Linked DNA regions of Xenopus tropicalis. The protein of the gene in region 1 binds, or shares a complex with, the protein of each later gene. Links are inferred from orthologs where the notes say so. Each region holds a gene or a part of one and is shown in the gene's direction. Other genes may lie near its edges.

Region 1 (12,195 bases):
TAGCCTGGGGGAACCAATCAAATCCTTCATAAAACGGCTTACTAAAGCACAATGGACAGACAGGAAATATCGTAAAACTTTCAGTCTTTATTCATATTCTTAAAATCCGCCTGACGCATTTCGTGCATGCGCACTTAATCATAGGCATACATATATTGTGACATCACACAATATAAAAAAAAAAACATTTTTGACATTAATTGTTATATACCTCCCTTAACCCTAATTATTCTCTGCCAGAAAACTAAAGAGTTTGACATACATTTTTTACTATAAATACCTTTGGTAATTTACTCTGCCATAGACCATAACACCATTTGTGATTACATTTTTCAATTGCAAATGTAATTTATGTTTCCATGTCCTGCTTTGATCTAGATCTTGTGTGTTTTTATGCTACCAGTGAATCTTAACAGACAAGTAATATAACGTTTAACTTTGCCACAAGGAAGGTTGCAACCAGAACAACTGTTTTTTAAAGCTTTCCATACAGGTACCAAAAATATCAAACTAAATGCAATATAATTATTGGTTTGTGTATGTGGCCCACTGATTCCCACCTTTATCCATGTACTATGTATCTGTTATTTCTGGAATTGAGTTTGGAAATTTATTCTGCATATGTGCAATGTTGGCCAGTGCATTGGCAAATCCTGTTCACTTCCTTATGGTCGGAACATTAGAAAGGCAACCATGTTCTGTCTGGCCCCTCTTACTCTGTTCACTCATATGGCCTATTGGTTAATAGGTCAAAGAGGCATCATGCGACTGCCTTAAGGTGTAGGAGAAGACAAAAACGGCTGTTTAAATAGATGCTGCCATACACAGTTTAGAGACCAAGGAGTACACTATGGGATCACTAGTTTCATAATACTCTGGGCTAATGTTAAATTGTCTGAAAACCAACAAACTGTATTTAAAGCAAGGTTACAGAGCAGATTACTAATGGGGTTGTAGTTTTTAGTATGACGTGAGCAGCAGAATTCTGCAGTGTTTTAGTTTTATTTATTTTGGTTGGTTTTTAACTTATTCATATTTTTAGTTGTGTAGCTTTTGTAAAAGTTACCTGGTTGCTATGGGGTTTGTTGCCATAGCAACCCAAGGTCAGGTTTCAAAACATTATGGAAGATTTATAATAGATGACCTTAAAAAAAAATAAGCAATACAAATACAAATAGTATCATGAATTTGATATTGTATATATACAATAAGGGATTAAGAATGTTGGCTCACGAGATGAGTTGCCTGCAATCCTGGCTACCACAAGCAAAAATCTCCACAAAATACCTTTTCACCAGCAAAAAAGTGAAGAACCAGTGGAAAGGCCTACACGGTGCTTCGTTTTCCGAAGTCACATGAAGTTTTCTCCTGCAGGAAGAACTGCGTTAGATTAACCGCGGGTGACTAATCTGTGGACCTTTGCCCTAAAATGTTGCAGTGGGCTGCTACTGAAGCTATTTATAGTTAATTATTTATGAAGCTGTAGTGATTTTAAAAGGGATGTTCAGCCATTTGACAGAGCCCCTGTAGAAAAAAAACAAAACAGTTTTGTAATTCATCTTTATTATTTAAAATGCTAGTTTTGAAGCTACAGACCCAGATTAGCACTGCTAGAATGCTCTCTCCTCTGCTTTCTCCTCTTACTTTGGATGGGATCGTCAACACCAAACTTGCATATTGCCCAAACAGGAAGTTTGCACTGAACTTATTACTGTGCATGCCTTCCCTCTCCTGCTTTATTTGCATTTTGCATTTTTTTCAGCCATTGGCTGAATCTTGTCAGACAGTGGTATAAAAAAATATTCAAATGAAGCAGGAGAGGGAAGGCAAGTGCAGAACCAGTTCAGTGTGCCAAGTCCTGGTCTGGAAAATCCCCTACAGAAAGAGCAGAGAGAAGATTGGTGAGTGTTTTGCTTCAAAGCTAACCATTTTAAATATTAAAATGTTTTTTTTCTGACAGGGGCTGTTCAAATTTGAGCTATTGTTTGAAGGTGAACATCCCATTTAACTTTCCTTAACCTTTAAGATAAGAAAATAGAAAGTTACCCGAGTCAGTACTGGTATTGGACCCGTTATCCAGAATGCTCGGGACCAAGGGTATTCCGGATAAGGGGTCTTTCCGTAATTTGGATCTCCATACCTTATTTTATTTCCGTATTTTATTATTATTCTTTATAATTGATTTTTTTTCTCCATTTGAGTTTTTTTTTGCGCTTAAAAAACCTTGAATTTGAGTTATGGTTTTAAAACTTGAATGTCTATTATTTATTAAGTGCAAAAACCCTGAAAACTCGAATGTAAAAATTCACCATCTAATAGCTTGTGAGTTTTTATAGAAGTCAATGGGATTTGTCATAGGCAAAGTCAAGCCTTATTCTTAAACTCAAATGTTTTGTGTTTATAGAGCTCGTAAACTTGAAAAATTTGAGATACTAAGTTTTTTTATTTTGCTTATTAATAAATAGGTGATCATTCGATATGTGAGTTTCGTTTTAGAAAAACAAACTCAAAAATAAATAAGCCCCACAGTGCTTTTATAGAGATATTAGAGATTATACTGCACATCATTCACATCAGTCTCCTAGTGGGACATACACACACATACACTATGATCAGATTTATTAGGAGCCAATTAACCTTTTAGTTGCTAGGCAAGTAAATGCATGTTTATCAAGCTTTGCCCATGTGAGATGCGTGGGTGAAAATGCTGCCAGCTGCTGGAACTATTTTCATTCTGACACTCCCCAAGTGCTTAATACACAAAGGCATAAGCACACTTAGAACTTATCAGGCAGAAGAAACTCTGTGGCTCATTTATATTATTTGCTTAAGCACACAAAGCAAGGACATTTTCGGCCACATACCGGTCAGGTAAGCCTGTCTGAGGGCCCCATATACTGGTCAATAAACTGCCAACCGTCAGCAGCTTTTATTGACCCATTTATGGCCACCTTTAAACACCTTGTTTTATATTAGACCACTGCAGACTGAAGAAAGCCACAAAAAAAAACAAAAACTAAATCTTCAGTTCAGTTCTGCAGAGAGTAGAGTTGTATAGTAGTTTACAGGAAAGCTATTTTTTTACATTTAGGTTCTTTATGTTTATTAAACATTAAACTGAATCAACTCTTACTACAAAGTTGATCCAGGAACGGAACTGACTGCCCAGTTATTAAAAAAATATCTCCCCCCCCCCCCCCCCCTCTGTGGCAATTACAGAGACTTGAATGGTTTTTCCCATTTATCTGGATCAGCTTGCAATTTATTCTCACAAACAGGTTAAACTTGATGGACTGAAAGCTCAACTGTTATGTTGTGTGCCGATGCCCTGCCCTAGAGGGATGTTTGTGCTAGAGCTGATGCATGACATGTCACTGCCAGGGATTTTATTAATAGGAACAGTGACAGGGAACATACATAAAAATGACTGAGCAACTGCATAGTCTTTGGCTTACAGCCATGGGTCGTGAAAGAAATATATTTCAACAAACTTTAATGAAAGTTAAATCTAGCTGCAAATTCACAATTAACATTATCAGCTATTGTTTTTTTTCTCTTTCGGCATACCATTGTAAAACATGATGAATTGATTTTTATTTATAACATAAACACAGTATTGTATAGCAAATTCCTGGTGAACAAGACAAAGGAACAGATGTAGATTAGGAACCATAATGATTCCCTGACACAATTAGGGCTCTGGCACAGGAGGAGATTTGTCGCCAGCGATTTTTAAAAGAGCGATTTGGCGACAAGACGAACGACAAGACGCCAATGCTAAACCAATGGAAATCGCCAGCGTCAAAACATATGAGGCTACTTCAAGTCGCCTGCTGTTTCAAATCGCACACAGACCCTTTCCTGAGCGACTTGAGTAAACATGTGGGAGGGGTAACTGTTGTGTGGTACCATGGGTAGCAGATCTCCTGGAGCTCAACTCGCATGAAATCTCTTTGTGTGTATTGTCGTGGCGCCAAAGCGCCTGGGGGAAAAAACGCGGGCGACAAATCTCCTCGTGTGCCAGAGCTCTTAAAAGAGAACTGAAGGGTGCCACAAGTTAGGATGTGGGGAGGGTAAACAACTGTCCCGAATTTTGCAGGACAGTCCCTCTTTTAACAACTCAGCCCGCAGTCCCATATTCTGACTTTCAGGGGGGGGGGGGGGGGGGGGCGGAGTTGGTGTAACTGCTGCTGTGTGCATGCAGACTATGGAAAAAAAAGGAGAAATTTTATATTTTAAGATATAATTTTATATACAAGCATTTGGTTATATTTGTCTGTAATACAGAAATTTATAATTTCAGAAAGGACTATCAAATCCCAGTTAAATGAGCTACCCAGGATACCCGGGTGGGTTTCCACCAGTGCCCACAGGTAAGTAAATTTTTCTTCTGGATTTCAGAATATTTTCTGTATGATACATACCTGGTTTCAGTGTATTTAAGGCTGATGTCAAACCAGAAAATTGACATTTTCATAGCCGCAATTTTTCTCCAGAAAAGAAAAAAGACAAAAAAGCACACAATCCTTATGTAATAAAAGGCACTAAGTTTGCCCAGTAGTGCACTATAGGTGGCATCAGCCTAGCCCTGTCCTTACTGTCTCACTAGTCAGGCAACTATAGATCTGCAAAGCCACTGCCACATTTCAAAGCAATAATCATTTTCCTGATCAGCTTACCAGCAGGGTCCCAGCAATTACTATTCAGATCATTGAAGGGGCAATTCTGATCATTATGCTGCCCACCCATCAAGCTGTTAATTATTTGGGTGGCAAACCACTTGGAATCACCCAAAACATGGGGCTGATTAATATCATATTCAACTTCAAAAGCTTTCAACAAATTTCCAGCAAAAAAATGATCCTTTAAAATAAATAACAATTAAAGCCCCACAATCTAAAAGTTTTCAGACTTTTTTTTTATGTGATAAAAAAAAAAATCCAAATTGTGGGAAAAACAAGATCAAGATTAAAAAACCATAAAAAAAGCATCATGAATTGCAGCAAAATTGAAACTTAATAAATCAGCAGCTGCGTCTTTTGGATAGACGATAGTAAATCTTACCACTACTATTTAGTCACTTGATAAGAACTGCACAATATCGTCCCACATGTGCAATAAAGGCACTATGTTTGCCCACGACCCATTATGGGGTTATGTAATGAGGACGCTAAGGGGCAGATTTATTCAAATGTGAGTTTATAACTTAATTCATATAAACCCACTTACGTTCTATTCATTCCTGTGGGATTTTTATCAAATGGTGCGTTTTTATGTATTAAGCTCTAAACTAACATTTTCTGAAATCAGCCACTGTTTGGTGTGAGAGCCATTACGGGGATATTTGCCATAATTGCTGGCCTTATGGTTGGAAATCCTAGCTGGATTTCCAACCATAACGGAGAATAATCTGAGATTACCCTAGGCCAGTGCTGTCCAACTGGCCTACTGGCCCACTGGGTGACCTTTTTGGATTTTTCCAGGCGAGCCAGTCGTCTACATCTGTTGATGAGTTAAATGTTTAAACACAATCTCCATCATAAATGACCACTTTTGTCTCATACCTATAGCATGTTTCTATGATGAGACTAAAAAGTATTTACTATCACTCAACCCTAAATTTCAAGTAATATGTCCTTCTCTGTTCCTTTTCTTTGTCCCTTTTGTAGGTAGTAACCCATGGGGAGCTCCTGCTAACCCTCCTCCTATTGGGCTGGATAACATGTCAAACTTTTCTCAGCAATACAACCCCCAACAGTACATGGTGAGTGAAAATTTCCAGAATCATTGTCTGCTGTTAAATTGGAAACCATCTGTCTTATCTGTCCATCTGTCTGACTGTCTATATTTTAAATTAAAGGTGGCCATACACGTTCAGATTTTAGTATTCTTCTGATGAATGTTTGATCGGTCGTACATTTAAATGCAGAAATCTGAAACTAACATTCAGACTGAAATTGTAGGATAAAGCTTTAAAATACAAATCAGAGGATGTCCTGAACATGAAATAATTGTCAGACACCAATCGTACGAAAGTAACTTTCGTTGTAGGTCCCATAAGTATATTGTCAGATATATGCGCAGGTTTTATCGTTATCCAACCAAAATTTTCTAATCTGGCCGATCAACTTAACGACCAATCGCCATGGTAAGATAATTTTCAGGACGATCATTTGGAGCCCACAAATAGTCTAAAAATCGTACGAAACTAGGTTTTCTCAATTTTATTGGTATGTGTATGGCCAGCTTAACTCAAAATTTTTGATTTCTCATTTGTGAATGACAGTGTATATTTCAAAGAATCTTGCATTTACTCAGTGTTGGGTAGACAGCTTCAGGAATTAGTATACTGTTTCTATATGCCATTATTTATGTTACTTTAGGTCATACGTGATTACTTCAGACAATACCCCACATGGTAATCTAAGATTCCAGACATTTTATTTATTTTTGCTGTTACATTTTTGCTTCGGCTGTGGTAAAAAATGAATACAGCACTCTTAGTTCTTGGTCCACTTTTCTCTCCAAGGGATTTTGCCAATGTTTCCCCGATAGTTCTGCTGCCATTATGCACATAAAAAGACTCCCCCCGGTTGATACCTGCAGGTACATGAGTGGGGGGACAAACTGACTTCAGCCAGTCTGCAGAAGTTGAGTTTCACTGCATTGAATAAGAAGAGATCAGTACTGTCTGGCAGGTTGCATAAAGGTTCCCAAATATTTCAGATCCTCAGCTTGGGTGGAGGGACACCAGGTTATTGCTTTGTGAGTGAGGGGTAACATACATTGTAAAGCTGAAAGTTTGTGGACACCTGCCTGTCCACAGGGCTGGATTTCTTATCCGTGTGCCCCGAGGCCAACCCACTTCACCACCCCCCACGCGCTTGCTCGTTCGCAACTCAACCCCCACCCCAACCCCCCCCTCGAGCGCACGCATGCACATTCGCGCGGGCGACAATTTAAACTTCATACGGAGCAGTGGGGAGCGAAACTTCGGCGCGGAAGGGCTGCATGCCGCCCCTGAATTTTTGCCGCCTTAGGCCCGGGCCTTTGTTGCCTCGCCACAAATCCTGGCCTGCCTGTCCAACATCTTAATCAAAAAAGGTTAATGATTTGAAGTTGGTCCTCTCTTTGCTGCTTTAACAGGGAACGTAATCCACTAGTTTTGGGAACATTTTTGTGGCCTTCATTCCATTATTACATAGGAGGTCACTGATGTTAGGCTGATGCCACACCAGGCGTAGGGCTGATTTTTTCGGCAAGCGGAAAAACGATTGTCGAAAATTCAGCCCTACGCCTGCTACTTGTGCCTGCACCCAAGCGTATCCCATTCATTCCGGTGCAGGCACAAGTAGCAGGCGTAGGGCTGAATTTTCGGCAAGCTTGGTGTGGCATCAGCCTTAGGCGATTAGGCCTGCCTCAGATTGGACTCCAATTCATCCCACCTGTGTTCAGTTGGTTTAAAGTTATGGCTCTGTGCTGGTCATTAGTGATGAGTGAATCTGTCGCATTTAGATTGGCAAAAAAAATTGTGAATTAGCAAAAAATTGTGAAGCACATTGAAGTCAGTTGGTGCCTTTTTTTTTTTACCATGCAACTTTTTTTAGCCAGTAAAGTCTCTGGGCATTTGTCCGCGCTGAAACCTGGCAAAAATGTTTGCTCAGCACTGCAGGCGAAGTCAGGTTCCACTCCTGTGTTTCCATACCAGTTTTGTATGAACCTTACTTTGCTCACACAGGTATTATCTTGCTGAAACAGGCAAGGGTTTACTTACAGGATACTGAATTCGTCCAGTGCAGTTATCTATAGGAGCCAGTCTGCTCTTTGCTTTTATTTTCTAACTTTGAGTAGACTGATCAAAGCTGACTGGTGATTGTACACTTTTTTCAACTGCACTGGTGCAATTTAACCGATCCATTAAATCACATTTTATTAATTTTTGTGAGGACAGTAGACACATTGGCTGTAGTTTTTCTTCATATGCAACTAGTGAAGTAAGGTAATGAGATTATTATAAGGTTTGATTCACTCGCAATAATATTTTGTATCCTTATTTAAAGGGGCACTACCACTTTAAATTAAGCTTTAGGGGCACATTTATGAACGCTTAAGCCTTTGGGCTTGAGCATTTGTGTCCCAAAACCACGTGGTTTCTTCATCCGAATAGCCCGATTCGTGCAAATCGGGTTTTTCTTTTCCCCGACCAACAAAATAAAATGCTTAGCACCAAAGACTTCCAGACTTTTTATTTTTTGGTTGGAGAAAGAAACCATGTGAGAGTGTGGGAACTCTTGCATGGTTTTGGGATATGTATGCTCAACCCTGAAGGCTCGAGCGTTCATAAATGCCCCTTAGTGTGATGTAGATAGTGACCCCCATCTTAAATTAGAATAGGAAGCCAATTAATTCAGAAATTATAAAAAAAAAATGAAGATAACTTGAAAACTTGCTAATAATGTGACATTCTATATTATGCTAGACGTTAACTTAAAGGCAATCTTACACGTTTAAATTAATGCTTTAACCATAACCATTAAAATAATGTATTTTACCTTCACAGCAAACAGTATTTTTTTTTATGTACTGCAGACCTCAGGGTTCCCGCCAGCTGGGTTTGGAGGAATGGACCAACAACAGGGGATGTACCCTCAAGCTCCAGGTGGCTACCCAGCACCTCCAGGTGGATATGGAGCACCACCAATGCCTGGGCAACCTCAGGTTCCTTCCTATGGCATGTATCCTCCTCCAGGAGCAGGCCAACAGCCAGGAATGCCTGGGTATAACACAGGATACCCAGCGGCACCTCTGCCAGGCCAACCCATGCCAACACCTGGCCAGCCCCAAATGCCCATGCCTGGACAACCCCCAATGAACTATCCTGGACAGCAGCCTACACCAAGTTATCCTCAAGGCCCAGCAATGAATCCATCTTACCCATCTCCTGGGATGCCACCTTCAACAACCCCTACTGTCATACCTTCATATGGAAAGGTATGATGGCGTTTAATTACATTAGAAAAAGTTTCCACATTTGTATCTAATGAGCTATATTTACTTAAGTATATATCAGGCAAGCATCATTGTAAGTCTACCTTTGTTCAATATGTGTAATACAGCTTTTTATTGTAAAATTATATAATATTTTACAATTATATTTATGTTATAATTAATAGAATAATAGTAGTTTATTCAATATGTTTTCAGTAACTGGTTTTATCTGTGATTATTATTACACTTCATCTGTACTGGCTGACTGAGGTCAGGAATCAATATTTTTTCCTGTCCCATTTGTTCATAACTTTCCTTTAATCTGTAATTGGTTTAGGTAACACGAGGAACCATCACAGATGCAGCAAACTTTGATGCATTGAGAGATGCTGAGGTGCTCAGGAAGGCCATGAAAGGCTTTGGTAAGACACACTGAAAGAAAAAAACTTCATTAATTTGTGGTATTTATGAGAAAGGAATGGCATTTAAAATGCTATTTGCTCTAATGTTTAAAGGAGAAGGAAAGGCTAATAAAGAGTTAATCTCAAGCTGCAGGCATGCCTTCAGTTCTCTCAATAGTGCCCTTAAGTCTCCCCATATTTCACCTGTTCAGATGATCAGAAGCCAAACAGGAAGAAAAAACGCTTAGCTGTGTAAAGAAAGTTCCCATAATGCCTTGCTCCTGCTCCAAGACCCAGACCAGTGTACATGCTCAGTTAGTTAGACTGTGAGGAAGCCTTCTGCTGATTGGCTCAGATCCACATTCCTATGGGGGGGGAGTGAGTTCTTAGCATTCTTGAGGGGGGTGGAGCAGGAGAGGAGAGAGGGGAGAGAGCTGCGTGTCTCTGGTAGAGGAAAACAGACACAACTAATCTTTTGACAAAGAACTTAGTGCAGCATTTCTGTAAGTGCTTATGGCTGCATTTACATAGACCTTTCTGATAAAGTTTACTTAGTTTTTACCTTTCTTTCTCCTTTAAGGCTAATGTCCCATGAAGTGATTAGTTGTCTGTGATAAATGTGTGTTACCGCAGGCGACTAATCTCTCCAAAATGCCTTTCCACCAGCAGCAAAGTGAATCGGCAGTGAAAAGGCATTCGGGCCGCTTTGTTTTTCCGAAGTCATGCAGGGTTTCCTCCTGCAGGCAACTTCATGCAACTTTAGAAAAATGAGGCGGCGTGTATGGCAGATGCTATCTTAAACAAGCATAGAGATCTTCTAGGGCTGTTTACTCCGGTATAGTAAAGCATTTCTCCTTTTAGGGTAAGGCCCCACAAAGCCACAAAAATGTTTTAATTGTCCCTACATTTGTTGGCGGCTATTGGCTGAGTGTGCCTGCACCTGGCCAGATTCAATGCTTCTATATGCAGGCACAATTAGAAGATTTTTCAAGCATACAGGACTGTTGGCTGAGAATCCGCCTTATGGGGCCTTACCATAAATGTATCTTTTAAAAAATAAATGTGTTTAACCACAAACACCATTACAGTAACACTTGGGTCTTTTTTTGTATCTGTCGTATTTTTGGTTTATATTATCATAGTTCCATATCAAATATATGTAGGTTTGTGAATAAATATACTATTTACTTACTATGCTATACATTCTTATAAATCAGGAACTGACGAGCAGGCCATTATTGAATGCCTGGGGAGTAGGTCTAACAAACAAAGGCAACAGATCAGCCTCTCTTTTAAAACTGCTTATGGAAAGGTAAGTAGTGGGCAGGGTCAGAGGTAAATTTAAACCGTGGTTGGCTCAGTGCTGCTTATTTGTTTAATATTGCATTTATTAACATCTGCTATTTGCACATAAGTGAAGGTATTTATAACTTTCTTTATTATTTTAAGTAGTTTCACTTTCTTTATTATTATTAATAGATTATCAGAACTTAATTATCAATTATTTTATGATTTATATTAGCTTTTTCTATATACGTTACCTATTTAAATTTTAAAAATCTGCATTATTTGATTAAAATGGAGTCTATGGGAGACGGGCTTTCCGTAATTCGGAGCTTTCTAGATAACGGGTTTCCGGATAACGGATACCATACCTGTGTGTGGGACTGAAACCCTGGTATTAACCCCCTTCGCATGGTGTGCTATCTTTTAGTTGGACTATATATATAAACAACAACAAGAGATCCTCTGCACTCACCCATTATCAATATATACATTATAGGACATTAAGACATTCTGTGCGTTAAGCTACTAAGAAATGCCCTCCCCCTTAAACAAAATAGGGATTGTTTGTCCATACTTTGCAATATACTTCAAGCTGGCCAACTACGTCAAAGTCATCCCTTCTGGCCAGTCCTACACTGACTTATGCGATTCATTAAGAATTCTACTGTTTCAATATACGTTTAGCAAAGGGATCATGGCAAATTGTGTATGTTACTGCAAATCTCCTGCGTGTAAAATGTTAAATGAACAATATTGTTTGCCTTATATTCTAAACATGCAACTCGTAGCCAGATTTGGCGAAGTTGGTTAAGGGCAGATTCATCGAAGTACAAGTTCGAATCCCGAAATGAGTAAAATTCGGATTAGATACGATAATTTCTGATGATCCAAAATGTCACAAAAATTCATACGAAAAATTGTAATAGTCATGATAATATTGTATTTGCAATCCAAAAGTCACTAAATTTTCGTATCCGAACTATAGTAAACGGCGGAAAAAACCTTTCTGACTTCTTCCTTCTGTGCATGTTTTTGGAAGTCTCCCAGTGCGAAAAAGTTGTGCAAATTAACGAAAAAACAAAAAACAAGAATAAAACGCAGAAAATAAGCACAGTACGAAAACTTAGAAAAAATACAATTTTTTTGTATTTGGAAACAATTGTATTTTGATAAATGTGCCCCTTAGTATTGACAGTCTCAGGAATTTTGTACAGGTGACGATGTCCACTGGGCAATTTGCATTCTGATGCACTAATTCAACATTTTATCTGTTTTTTTTTTTAATTTTTTTATTTTAAATTGATAGGATTTGATAAAAGATTTAAAGTCTGAGCTTTCTGGGAATTTTGAGAAGACAATCCTGGCAATGATGAAAACTCCAACTCTTTATGATGCGCATGAGATACATGAGGCAATTAAGGTTGGTTCTGAAAAAATATGCAAAATATAATCTTTAAAAAAAAAAAAAAAGAGGTTGATTCTGAACCACTCATTAATCATAGAAACAACTATCCACATA
Region 2 (12,195 bases), about 12 Mb from region 1:
TGGTAGAGTAGCAAGACTAAAGCTGCCTATAAACATGCCACTAAAAAGCTGTGAGGGTGGCCAAATTGAGCCCACACGGATATGGCAGTGTATTCCCACATTAAAGGGGAAAAACATAAGCATCTAATGAAAAATAGACTATCTGAATATGATTAATTAAAAATTATCCACAGTTTCTTAATTGAGTCAGCTTTTGGTTGACAGGTCTAAGGGTGAGACACTGAGCTTACTAGTAGCAGCTACTTTTCAGAGCTACTAAAATAGATAGTGCTGATCATTTACTGATAATTGTCTGTTTTAGCAGAGGCAATTCTCAGTATTGTCTATGACAGGGTATTTTCTGGAGTTTAGTAGCCATGAAAAAGTAGCGCCTACTAGTAGATCCTTGTGTCTTCACCCTAAGGGCTAATCGCGGCGGCTTTCCGGCTATAAAGTACAAGTGCAACACTGCGACAAATCGTGCCAAATTGTGCAGATTAGTTGCTGCGACTTTTCAAAAATGTTTAATTAGATCACACTGAAATGCAGATTAAGGACAGGCCAGTATTATGGGTGCATTGCATGCAAAATACCATGAGCAGCACATAATTACCTGTGCGTTAAAAAAAAAAAATCTGTGCACATCCATGGGCTTATATCACATCTAACTTAAGCATTTCTCCAGTTTGCAGAAATGGAGATGGAATACATAAGAGTGGCAGAGGATGAGAATGAAGAGCCAATGGAGATACCATCTGAAGATGATGGGACAGTACTGTTGTCTACAGTTACTGCCCAGTTTCCTGGTGCATGTGGTCTGAGATACAGAAACCCAGTGAATCAGTGTATGCGTGGTGTTCGATTGGTTGAAGGGATTCTCCATGCTCCTGAAAATGGCTGGGGAAACCTTGTTTATGTAGTCAATTATCCAAAAGGTGAGCAATGAAAATGTTAGTCACAAGTCTCTTACTTGCATAGATGTCTTAGCAACTTTTTTTGTGGATCATCTTGTAGTTTTTGAATAATTTGCCTTTTGCCTCATTGCAGCTTTCAAATGGGGTGAATGATCTTAGCAAACAAAACTATTGCTATGCATGACTATAGTATTGTTACTTCTGTATATGGACACTATGTTCCTGGCTTATTCAAACTACTGTCTGGTTGCTACAGTTAAGTGCACCCTATCAAACAGCTGCAGAAATTCAAAGTAGAGGCAGAAAAAAGGCTTAAATTAAAGAAACACAACATGAAGACCAGTTGCAAATATTCTAAGGATATTGCTGTCAACATACTAGGTTATTTAAAAGGTCAACTACCACATTACATCTGAGAAAGTAGGGAATCAGAGTAGTAACTTATGTTAGTGTTGACTTTTATTTTAGAAATCTTCCCATATGTAGTGTTTAACATGCGCTTTATCACTTTTGTAGGGACATTGATAGTAAACCTAACTTTTATCTTTAAATATTAACTAGAACATTGATTAAATATTTACATACAATGTGATGGTTGCAGCTTTTAAAAAAGTTATTTAAATATTAAAGTGGTATTTTAAATAGTCTTATAAAACCTTGGCTTTTTACTAAAGTGTAACTTTACCTATGCACAATACCACCTCCAACGCAAAGTTTTATTTGAGAATACTGAACACTATGTATTAAAGGTTTACTACATAAGTTTTGGTTTTCAGTTTAAAGGCCAGTTTAAAACTCCTTGGTGGGTTACATCAGGCCTAGCTGGACAGCTTTGCTCTAAAAATGTCTTATTGCAGTGTGTTAGTGCAGAGAAATACTACTATGCTGGACCCTCTTTGCTTATCTCATGAGCCTTTATGACTAATCTCCCCGAAATGCCATCCCACCAGCTAGAATGTAAATTGCCGGTGCGATGGCATACGCAGCGCCGCGCTTTGCCGAAGACGCAGAAGTTTCCTCTCAAGGCAACTTCCACAAATTCTGGCGCCACGTATGCCATCCCACTGGCCATTTACATTCTAGCCAGTGGGATGGCAGTTCGGGGAGATTTGTCACGAGGCGACAAATCTCCCCGTCTGTCACAGCCCTTATGCGATTAGGCTGTTTATTTGTCATAGCTGCAACACTACAAGAACACATAACAAAGATTTTGACTTAGTGTCAAAAAACAGTGCATTTTCAGCCTTCAATATGACTACAACCTGAGTAGTAACCTCTTCAGAAGCTTGGAGATCCTTTCTCTTATTTGCTTTCTAGTTATATCCCCTTTAACAACTTTTTTACTTTTATGGAAATGCCATTTGTATTGGTGAACTAGCTTTGCAATTAAAATGTGCATCTACTTTTGTAAATGTTTTTTACATCAGATAACAAAAGGAAGATGGATGAAACTGATGCTTCTTCTGCAGTCAAAATAAAACGTGCAGTGACAAAAACATCAGATCTAATTGTGTTAGGTCTTCCGTGGAAAACCACAGAACAAGATTTGAAAGACTATTTCAGCACATTTGGTGAAGTGATTATGGTGCAGGTACCTAAACAGGGTTTTGATTTTTTTTGTTTTGTTTTTTTTGTATGTGTTTAGAAAGGATATTTTTAATGGGAAATTTGTTACTATAAAAATATGTAATGCTCTTTTTTTGTTGCAGATGTTAGTATTGGTAGGTTGACAAATAACTATAACGCCATTGCATAATAATCGCCTTATATATGTTAGATACAGACAGCAGTTTAGAAAGGAATGACATGTCTATATACATATGTTAACACTTATGTGGAAGTTTTTTCTCTTTGCTGTTGCCTAGTAGTGTTATGGATGGTCGGTTCTGACCTGGGCATCTACAAAAAGTTTGCATATTCCCCTTATGTATTTTTTGGATTCTTGTTTCCTCCCACACACAAAGCAGCAGGTTAACTAGCTTCAAATAGAATTTTGTCAGTGAAATTGGAATCTTGGACTGTAAGATATGCTGGGGCAACAATGGTATCCATAATGAGCAATCTTTGCTGCATAAACATAATATGCATGTTTTTTTTGGTATTGGTATACTGGCCTCTAAGTTCTATGGTAGAAATTTCAGGCATTTTTGTTCCCTCAAAAGGCAACAGCAAACATCTGAAAATAAACCCTTTGCTGGTAAAAGGGGAACCGCTGAAATCTCCAGCCCTGGTAAAGGTCCCAGTACAGGTATGGGATCAGTTATCCGGAAACCCATTTTCCAGCAAGTTCTGAATTACGGAATGGCCATCTTCCATAGACTCCATTATAAGCAAATATTTCAAATTTTTAAATTTGATTTCCATTTTCTCTGTAATAAAGAAACAGTACCCAGTACTTAATTACAACTAAGATGAAATTAATCCTTATTGGAAGCAAAACAATTCTATTGGGTTTAATGTTTTAATAATTGTTTTTAGTAGACCTATGGTATGGAGATCTAAATTACGGAAAGACCCCTTATCCAGAAAACCCCAGGTCCCAAGCATTTTGCGTAACAGGTTTTGTACCTGTATAACTTAAAAACAATTTAGACCATTTGTGTGGTTTCACACAATTGTCAGATGATGGCAGTTTTTTTTCTGCTTGTAATGCTGCATCCTTATTGCTTAAAACAAACTTGAATCTTGTTGATGTTGCAGAGGAGAAACTTTGTCACTAAGTGTTAATAGAAATAACTAGCAGTAGCTATCAGTCCTGAAGTCTTAAAAGAGGTTTTCTTTCTTTAATGCCAGGAAGGATAATTTTATAATAAACTATCAATTTTTCTTACAGGTAAAGAAAGATGCTAAGACAGGTCATTCTAAAGGATTTGGATTTGTTAGATTTGCAGACTATGAGACACAAGTAAAAGTGATGTCTCAGCGTCATATGATTGATGGCCGTTGGTGTGACTGTAAGCTACCAAATTCTAAGGTAATGTTACTAAATGCATAGAAATGCATTTTTCTACCTGTTAAATTACTATTGATCTTTTGCAGTCATGTTTTGTCGGATATTTACATTCAAACTCATTATAAATGAGTGCAAACTTATGTATGTGGATGCATGGATTTTTTTTATTTATTTTTTAGAATTTCATTTTTTCACCTGCTTTATTCCTGGTTCTTGGCAAAAAATATGATGGCACATGGGGCATCTTCTCAGCTGGCATAATTTAGTCAACACAGGTGCTCAGACCACTCTTTTCCGTTGACTGTAATGGGAACAACCTGACCCTCACCCCCAGTACTGTCCGTTCATTGAAAATATGCTAGTGTTTCTTTAAACAATCCCTTCCCTGAGAAAGCTACAGGTTTTAATCATGTGTTTCCCCCTCATTAAAGCTGTTGCTTCTTGCAACTTTTATGAAATTGCATACCAGGAAGTGCATTATCAAATGGAACTCCATACACTGGCCCAGATCAAAAGGTTCCCTCACTGGTTCCTTATAAAACCAATTTTTATTTATTTATTTTGAAACTATAGGGCACGCAAACATTTTCCTCAGGCCACTCTGCAATAAAGGGCAATTGTCACAAAATATTCTATTTTGCTGACACTTAGAGCCTTTTGGCACAGCCCAGATTCCATATTTGTTACCGATTTAAAGCATTTAATATGTGTTAATCATGTAGGCCAAAAAAGTACGCAAAAGTAATTTTTTTCCTGGTAGGCTGTTTTGATTAGGTCAAATATAAGGTTTAACCCCTGGGCCCAAAAAAACTTATCTGTAATAGTCCAAGAAAACACAATTTTAAAACCTAATTCAAATTTTCCTTAGAGTCCAGATGAACCTATGCGCAGCAGGAAGGTCTTTGTTGGGCGTTGCACAGAAGATATGAGTGCTGAGGAGCTTCGCCAGTTCTTCAGCCAGTATGGAGAAGTTGTGGATGTCTTTATTCCAAAGCCTTTCAGAGCATTTGCATTTGTTACATTTGCTGATGACCAGGTGAGGAAGCTAATGCAACTTAAGTGCTTGCAAGAAAAATCCACAATTTTTAATGTTAGGGCATTGGATTTTGGGCTATTTGGCACAAGTCACCTCCCTTTGAGGTTTGGCCCTTGGTTATGGCCCCCAGCTCATAACAAGGGTACAGTTAAATGAAAACATGCATATATTAGCCATTAAGCCATAATTTTAAACATTTCTGACCAAAATTGTTTACCCAAATTTTGCACTAATTGGCCTCCAAGCCTTTCCTTTGAATATCTAGGCCAGCAAAAAGGCATTTCCAACCACTGCTTTGGGTGGCCTTAGAGGGACCAGCCTTGTGGTTTGGGAATCATTGTGTTAAAGGGCAGTGGTATAGTATCAAGCTTCAGAGTCTTTTGATCATGCTAGTCTGCTTAAATGCAGGTGTACTTACTAAAGCTTATAGAAAATAAATCATTTTATCCTTCACTGCAGTCTCATTTTGCAAGTGTCCTATTTTTTATTTCCACTTGCTTGCAATTAAGTTTGATACAAATCCAAATGTGTACACACTAACACCACCCAAACATACCATGTGCATGTAGTGAAATGCACTCCGTATTGGGCTACCTTTGGGGAAACTGTTTAGGAATAATAAAGGTATTCTGTGGCCGTCACTGTAATACTGTTTCACTGTGTCTGGGTCCATTCAAGCAGATTATGATCAGGAGTGCTGGTAAATACATCTGGCGAATGCTTACAGCATGTCTTTACAATGATCAGCTACACAGAAATGGTTTCAACACCTTATCCTTTCATTCAGGTAACAGTCAGATAAGGTATCACTGTACTAAATATTTTGGCTAGCATTGTATAGCCAAACAGGCCAGTTATCTTCCATGAGTATCTAGCTATTGCCATGACTGTTTCTAAAACTCTCTATGAAGTCAAGCAACAGATATCTTCCCATTACTGTCAGCTGGAAGTGCAGTCCATATTGCACTCAAGTGCACTGGACTGGATGGCAACTTTTTTGGCTCAGTGCTGTGTGCCGTAAGCCAAGACTCATTTTTTAAAAAAGACCTCTCTGCCTTGCTGCCCTGATTGCAAGCTAATTACATGTAAATAAGTTTAGCCATTTTTGCTGGTTGAACGAAGAGTCACTGATTTTGTCACATTATCTGGTAAGACTGCGATAATATAAAGCTTGTATGTTCACAGGATGACTGATTAAATTGGGCTGCATGGGTTATATGCAAGAGTTTTTCATCAGTCGCTTTCTGGTGCTGCTATTTAAGCTCATTGCTCAAAAACAGTACCTGGTTGACCAGGTTTCCCCCCTTGCATTTTGTATAGGTTCATTGGTCAGCTTGGTGCAGGATGTGTGTGACTGTTTTAAGCTAGTGACACATGCCCAGATTTGGTCAGGCAGTTTGACCTATTTTGACTATACTTGTATGTATGGTTAGTCAGGGGCAGTTTACATCCTGTTGTCCTGATGGATCAAGAATTATCGGCCCTGACAATTTGTCAACTGAAAGAAAGTGCGCTACGTCTCCGCTTTTAACTGCTGTTGCTCCAAATATTTGTCCCTCAAATACTGAATCATACAAAGGTGGTGATAAATGTATATGGCCCCTTATACAGTGTCAACCCAGAGGAGTCGCTCAGGGTACTGTACAGGATGGGCCACATTAGGTGTATATATTAAAGTAGCAGTTCAAAATAACTGGCCGCTGTAAAGATTGTTTGAACTAAATTTTCTTTATCCTTTTCTTGACTTTGCCTGTTATTTTTATTTAGATATTAGACTGAATGTTAGTAGACAGTCGCCTACAACAAACTGAGATGTGCTGGTTCACTGACTTTAATTGTGACCTCATGGTCCCCCCCCCCCACCTACCCAGTCTGAAACAGTTGTTTGAGCAGATGCTGTTCTCTAGTTTGGTATAAGTGAATGCATGGCACTGTACACATACAGGTCCTTTGTTTGCAACCTTGCAACCGTTTCAGTGCAAACTATCCAGGATGTCTACATACTCTATAGTATGCTGTGTAAAAAAAAAAAAAAAAGCGAGAAAATTCACCACACGTCGCCAGGCTTCGCTGTGTAGAAAAAAAAAGGCGTAAAATCGACAATTTCTTTACATGTTTTTTCTTCCAGAACTTGTAAAATAACGGCATAAAATCTGGTGTTCAGACAGCGATCTTCTCCATTTATTTTACAGATTTTTACGTTGTTTTTTCAGTAAATTCGTTTTACACAGCTTAATAAATATGCCCCTTAGTCCAGAAAATCAGATGTCCCATGCTGCTTGATTTTCTGTGCCTGCCCCCTGCTGAGTGTTGAAAAAACTTGCATGTTGTGCATACACCTGCCTTCCAGTTAAAGGAGAAGGAAAATCATTTTTGCATTTTACTGCCAATAGATTAGCCACGTTAGTGCAAGCTACAATGCTATGTTTATTCTGCAGAAAGCTTTACCATACCTAAGTAATCAGCCCTTAAAGCTTCCTCAGTTTAAGATAGCAGCTGCCATTTTAGCTTGGTCTCAGTAGCTTCAAGCTCTAGGTGCTGGTAACTTAGTTCAGATTTGACATTCTGATGGGAGGGGGAGTGAATTGTTATAATAGCAGGAGAGAGCATGTTCAGACTCCAGCCCGTGAAATTAAGGATTTTTATGAGGAAGTCTGATACCTAAGTACATGTGTACACAAAAGAAAATAAATCCTGTTTCTTTTGAAAGAGGACTCTGCATCTTTTCTGTGTGCGCTTATGGCTGTATTTACATAGACCTTTCTGATAAAGCTTACTTAATTTTTACCTTTCATTCTCCTTTAAACTTCATGTCTATGATGCCTGCAAAACAAGAGTGCTGTGTTGACTTAGACTCAAATTTGCACCTTAATGTAAATCCAGATGTGGAACAACTTATGGTTTTTGTGCTGGGTACTCATTCAAATGTTATTTCTTTTAGGTTGCACAATCTCTCTGTGGTGAAGACCTGATCATTAAAGGAGTCAGCGTTCATGTTTCTACTGCAGAGCCCAAGCACAATAACAATAGGCAATTAGAGAGAGGTGGCAGATTTCCTGGCCCAAGTTTTGGGAACCAGGGTTACCCCAACAGCCGGCCAAGTAGTGGTGCACTTGGCAACAACCAGGGTGGTAATATGGGTGGTGGTGGAGGGATGAATTTTGGGGCCTTTAGCATAAATCCAGCAATGATGGCAGCTGCCCAGGCAGCATTGCAAAGCAGCTGGGGTATGATGGGTATGCTCGCTAGTCAACAGAATCAATCTGGCCCCCAGGGAAGTAATCAGGGTCAAGGAAATCAACAAAGGGACCAGCCACAAAGTTTTGGTTCAAATAATTCTTATGGTTCCAACTCTGGTGCAATAGGTTGGGGGTCCCCTAATGCTGGATCTGGCAGTGGATTTAATGGCGGCTTTAGTTCAAGCATGGAATCAAAATCTTCAGGATGGGGAATGTAGTCTTATTAGAAGACACTGGGTTTCTGGTGGGTAATTCATAATTTTTATGGTAAGTATATTGCAGAATGTTTCCAAAAGGTTTTTGAGTATGTTCAGTAGTAAACTTAAGGGAACTGTTTTCTAAGTTTGTACTTCAGTTTAACAATCTGGTCTCAATACTACTTTCTGACTGAACATGCATGTTATAGACCACTGGTTAACAACCTGTAGTAATTCCAGCCTTTTTTCTTTGCCTCAGTCTGTATATTAATGTAAATGGAATCATGCATTTTTGTTTAGGACAGTCTTCCTACCTTAATTGTGTTCACTGCTTCAACTGATCTCTGCTCCTTACCATGCCTTTCTGGAACCTGCTACTGAATGCAGTTGATTCCCTGCCCTGGAGCACTTTTGCCTACAAGCTTTTTCCTAGCCTGAAGATTCATGCTGCGTGATGAGTCTTAAGACGGTGGGTGATCCATTTTTATCCAGTTTGTTTCATGGAATTCGTACCAGCAATTTGAACGCACGGCTGTGAGGTGGAACCAGAAGGCTGTTTGAACTGTGGGATTGGTGTTTCCAAAGAATGAGAGTCTTTGGTATGAGCGAGAACAAGAGCGTATGCAGAGACCAGTGGTGCATTATGGATTACTAAGTTGTCAGTGTCTCTCAATCCAGTGGCAATTATGAGCGTGTGCAGAGAGCAGTGGGAGCAAGTAACGTACGAATGTTTCCTGCATTCGAAGGACTTTAGCTCATTTGAAAGACTGGGGCTAAACCAATTTGCCTGAAACAGTTTGTACATTTTCACCCTACCCTTCTTAAAATGTCTACTGCTGTGAATGCTGTATGATGTGTGCATTTTCTTTGTTATTGAAATGTGAGTCAATGTGATGAACTGCATCTCTGTCAGAGTGGCTTGAAATATGCTTCTCAAGAGTGTAGGGGGGTGTCTTGGTCTGTAAGTAACAACAAGAATGCTGTTTGCTGCAGTTGTGTTATGTTTGGATGCTTTTTACAAGACTTGTCATTGTAGGTTATTAAATAAAACTTTAAATAAGAAATTTCCCTGGTGGTTTGAATTTGTTAATCTTTTTATATATTTAGGTACTCTCCTGTTTGCCTTCAGTTGCAGTGTTGCCTTCCTGTTGCAGTGCTATTTCTGACCTATGTGAACAACCCCCAAACAGTTAAAATTACAAGCCTTAGCATTTCAGAGCAATTCTGTAATGAACAGAACAATACAATTGGATCTATAAAATATATATGGGCAGTAATAACTTTTAGTTTTGTAGAAAAAAGGTAACATTGTAACATTGGTGTTATTTAAAATGTGCTGAAAGAGCAGACTGCAGTGAATGGCCTAGCAATTGCACCTTTTTTCTGTGTAGGCCTCTTCTTTTTAAGGTACCAAATGTATCAAGTCAAGTTGTTCCATGGGCAGATAGTAAGCAGTTCCTTCATTTCATTAACAATTAAGCAAGTAAAAAGCTGGTGCTTTTAGGTGGACTCAAATGCACAAAGAGCCTGATGCCTTTCTTTGCAAGTGGGTAAATACAGTCTATTGAAAGATAGCTCATAGTACAAATTGATCCAGGGACTGTTCCGATTGCCATCTTGGAATCAATGAGGAATTTGCTACTATGTTGTTCTTCCTTAAGAGCTCTTAAATTGCATAGCTTTTAATTACATTGTGTCAGCTTGAGTACGTAAGTTGGGTTGAAAATAAGACACATGTCCATCAAGTTCAACCGTAATGTCTACATATAACCTGCCTATCTGTTAGTTGATCAAGGGAAAGGCAAAAAAAAACATTTGAAGCCTCTCTAATTTGCCACAGAGGGGGAACAAATTCCTTCCTGACTCAAAGATGGCAATAGGACCAGTTCCTGGATCAACTTGTACCAAGAGCGATCTCCCATAACCCTGTATTCCCTCATTTGCTAAAAAGCCATCCAACCCCTTCTTGAAGCTATATAATGTATCAGCCAGTACAGCTGATTCAGGGAGGAAATACCACAACTTCACTTACAGTAAAAAATCCTTTCCAAATAATTAAGCAGAACCTCCTTTCTTCTAAAGGTGTTGGGTGCCCTCGTGTCAGTCTTACTGGTAAATAAAGCATCAGAGAGGTTATATGCTCCCTTTATATATTTATACATACTGTATATACTTGAGTATAAGCCGATCCGAATATAAGTCGAGGTACCTAATTTTACCTAAGAAAACTGAAAAAAACGTATTGACTCGAGTATAAGCCTAGAGTGGGAAAGTTTTTTTTTTTTTTTTTTTTTTTTTTAGCTGTCAGGCAAGTTTGGGAAGGCTAAGGAAGCTGCCATAAAAAATACCTGATGCCCACCACAGTCTGCTTCCCATTGACTTCAGAGCTGTGTAACTAAAACTCCTTGTTAGATTTCTGCCGTGTGCACTCCCCGTATATACGCGAGTATAAGCCGAGACTGCGTTTTTGAGCACATTTTTGGTGCTGAAAAACTCTGCTTATACTAGAGTATATACGGTAGTTATCATATCACCTCTTGAGTGCCTCTTATCCTGTGTAAACTAACCTAACTTGGCCAATCGTCATAACTGGGACTTTCCATACCCTTTACCAGCTTAGTTGCCCTTCTCTGGACCTAATTCAATAACTAATTCAATAATGTCCTGTTTGAGCACTGGAGACCAAAACTGAACAGCATATTCTAGATGGGGCCTTACCAGCGCTCTGTAAAGGGTAAGAATAACACCCTCCTGTGAATCTATGTCCTTTTAAAAACATGAAACTGTATTTGCCCTTGCAGCTGACTCCAAGGTCCTTCTCCATTATGGATTTACCTAGTGCAGTCCCATTAAGTGTTTAAGTGGCTTGCATATTTTAAGCTGGCCATACATGCACAGGTAATATCGTATGAAACCTTGTTTCGTACAATATTTGTTGCGTGTATGGCAACTCGACGAGGTGACCGATAACGCAGGAGGCTGCTGATATCGGTCGACTCGCCGATCGGGCGGGTTATAAGACAAAATCTATGTTCAGGGCTGAATCAGCAGAAGAAGGTAGAAATCCTGTTGTTTCTACCTCCATATCTTGACGATCCAGCCCTGAACATCAGTGGAGGGTTGGAACAATCTTTCATGCGACCGATGGTCGCACGAAAGATCGAAAATTGCCACGTGTGTGGCCACCTTTACATCCCTGGTGCATGACCTTACATTTATCCACATTAAATTTCATCTGCCACTTAGCTGCCCAGATTGCCAGTTGGTCAAGATCCTGCTGCAAGGATGCCACATCCTGGATAGAATTGACTGGTCTGCAGAGTTTTGTGTCATCTGCAAACACTGATACATTACTTATAACATTTATACATTACTTATAACATTTATGAACATGTTAAACAAAAGTGAAGCCAGTACAGAACCCTGAGGGACCATGCTAAGAACCTTAGTCCAAATAGAGAATGTACCATTAACAATCACCCTCTGTACCCGATCCTGTAGCCAGTTTTCTATCCATGTGCAAATGACTTCAGTAAGACCAATAGACCTTTGTTTAGAAAGCGCCCGTTTGAGGGGCATGGTATTAAAAAACTTTTTGGGGTTCGTTTTAGCCTCTGCCACAATACACTCCTCATTTTTTATCTTTTGCCTTCTGGATTGCTGTTTTACATATAACATATAAAGCAATCAATAACTGATACAAGAGGTAAAGAGAGCCCTGCCCAAAAGAGCTTTCAATCTACAAGGAGAAAGGGTTGAGACACAAGGTGTGGGAATGGGCATGACCAGAGTTGTGGCACAGGGTATTGCTTTTAGCAGCACACTGAGGTTATGTTAAAATAGATGAGGGTAAGCTTCTCTAAATAAATGCGTTTTT

Evidence for each region.
Region 2: the proteins of anxa11 (region 1) and tardbp are in contact, whole or in part, in a cryo-EM structure (PDB 9FOR), measured with the Homo sapiens proteins. The link is inferred for Xenopus tropicalis from reciprocal best matches to the Homo sapiens genes ANXA11 and TARDBP. Residues at the interface, in NP_001148.1 of Homo sapiens: Gly56, Met57, Ala59, Met61, Ser62, Gly63, Phe65, Asn69, Pro71, Asn72, Leu73; in NP_031401.1 of Homo sapiens: Ala328, Leu330, Ser332, Trp334, Gly335, Met337, Gly338, Met339, Ala341, Ser342, Gln343.

What each region holds. Positions count from the first base shown.
Region 1 is NC_030683.2:53,069,423-53,081,617, reverse strand, and holds part of anxa11 (annexin A11), read left to right. Parts: intron 1-1,812; exon of another isoform or gene 1,813-1,901; intron 1,902-4,303; 5' UTR 4,304-4,327; coding exon 4,328-4,373; intron 4,374-5,669; coding exon 5,670-5,764; intron 5,765-8,589; coding exon 8,590-8,991; intron 8,992-9,325; coding exon 9,326-9,410; intron 9,411-10,606; coding exon 10,607-10,701; intron 10,702-11,982; coding exon 11,983-12,096; intron 12,097-12,195. UniProt on the Homo sapiens protein: Binds specifically to calcyclin in a calcium-dependent manner. Required for midbody formation and completion of the terminal phase of cytokinesis.
Region 2 is NC_030683.2:64,768,337-64,780,531, forward strand, and holds the end of tardbp (TAR DNA-binding protein 43), read left to right. Parts: intron 1-664; coding exon of another isoform or gene 665-673; coding exon 674-914; intron 915-2,320; coding exon 2,321-2,484; intron 2,485-3,726; coding exon 3,727-3,867; intron 3,868-4,714; coding exon 4,715-4,882; intron 4,883-7,823; coding exon 7,824-8,339; 3' UTR 8,340-9,391; downstream 9,392-12,195. UniProt on the Homo sapiens protein: RNA-binding protein that is involved in various steps of RNA biogenesis and processing.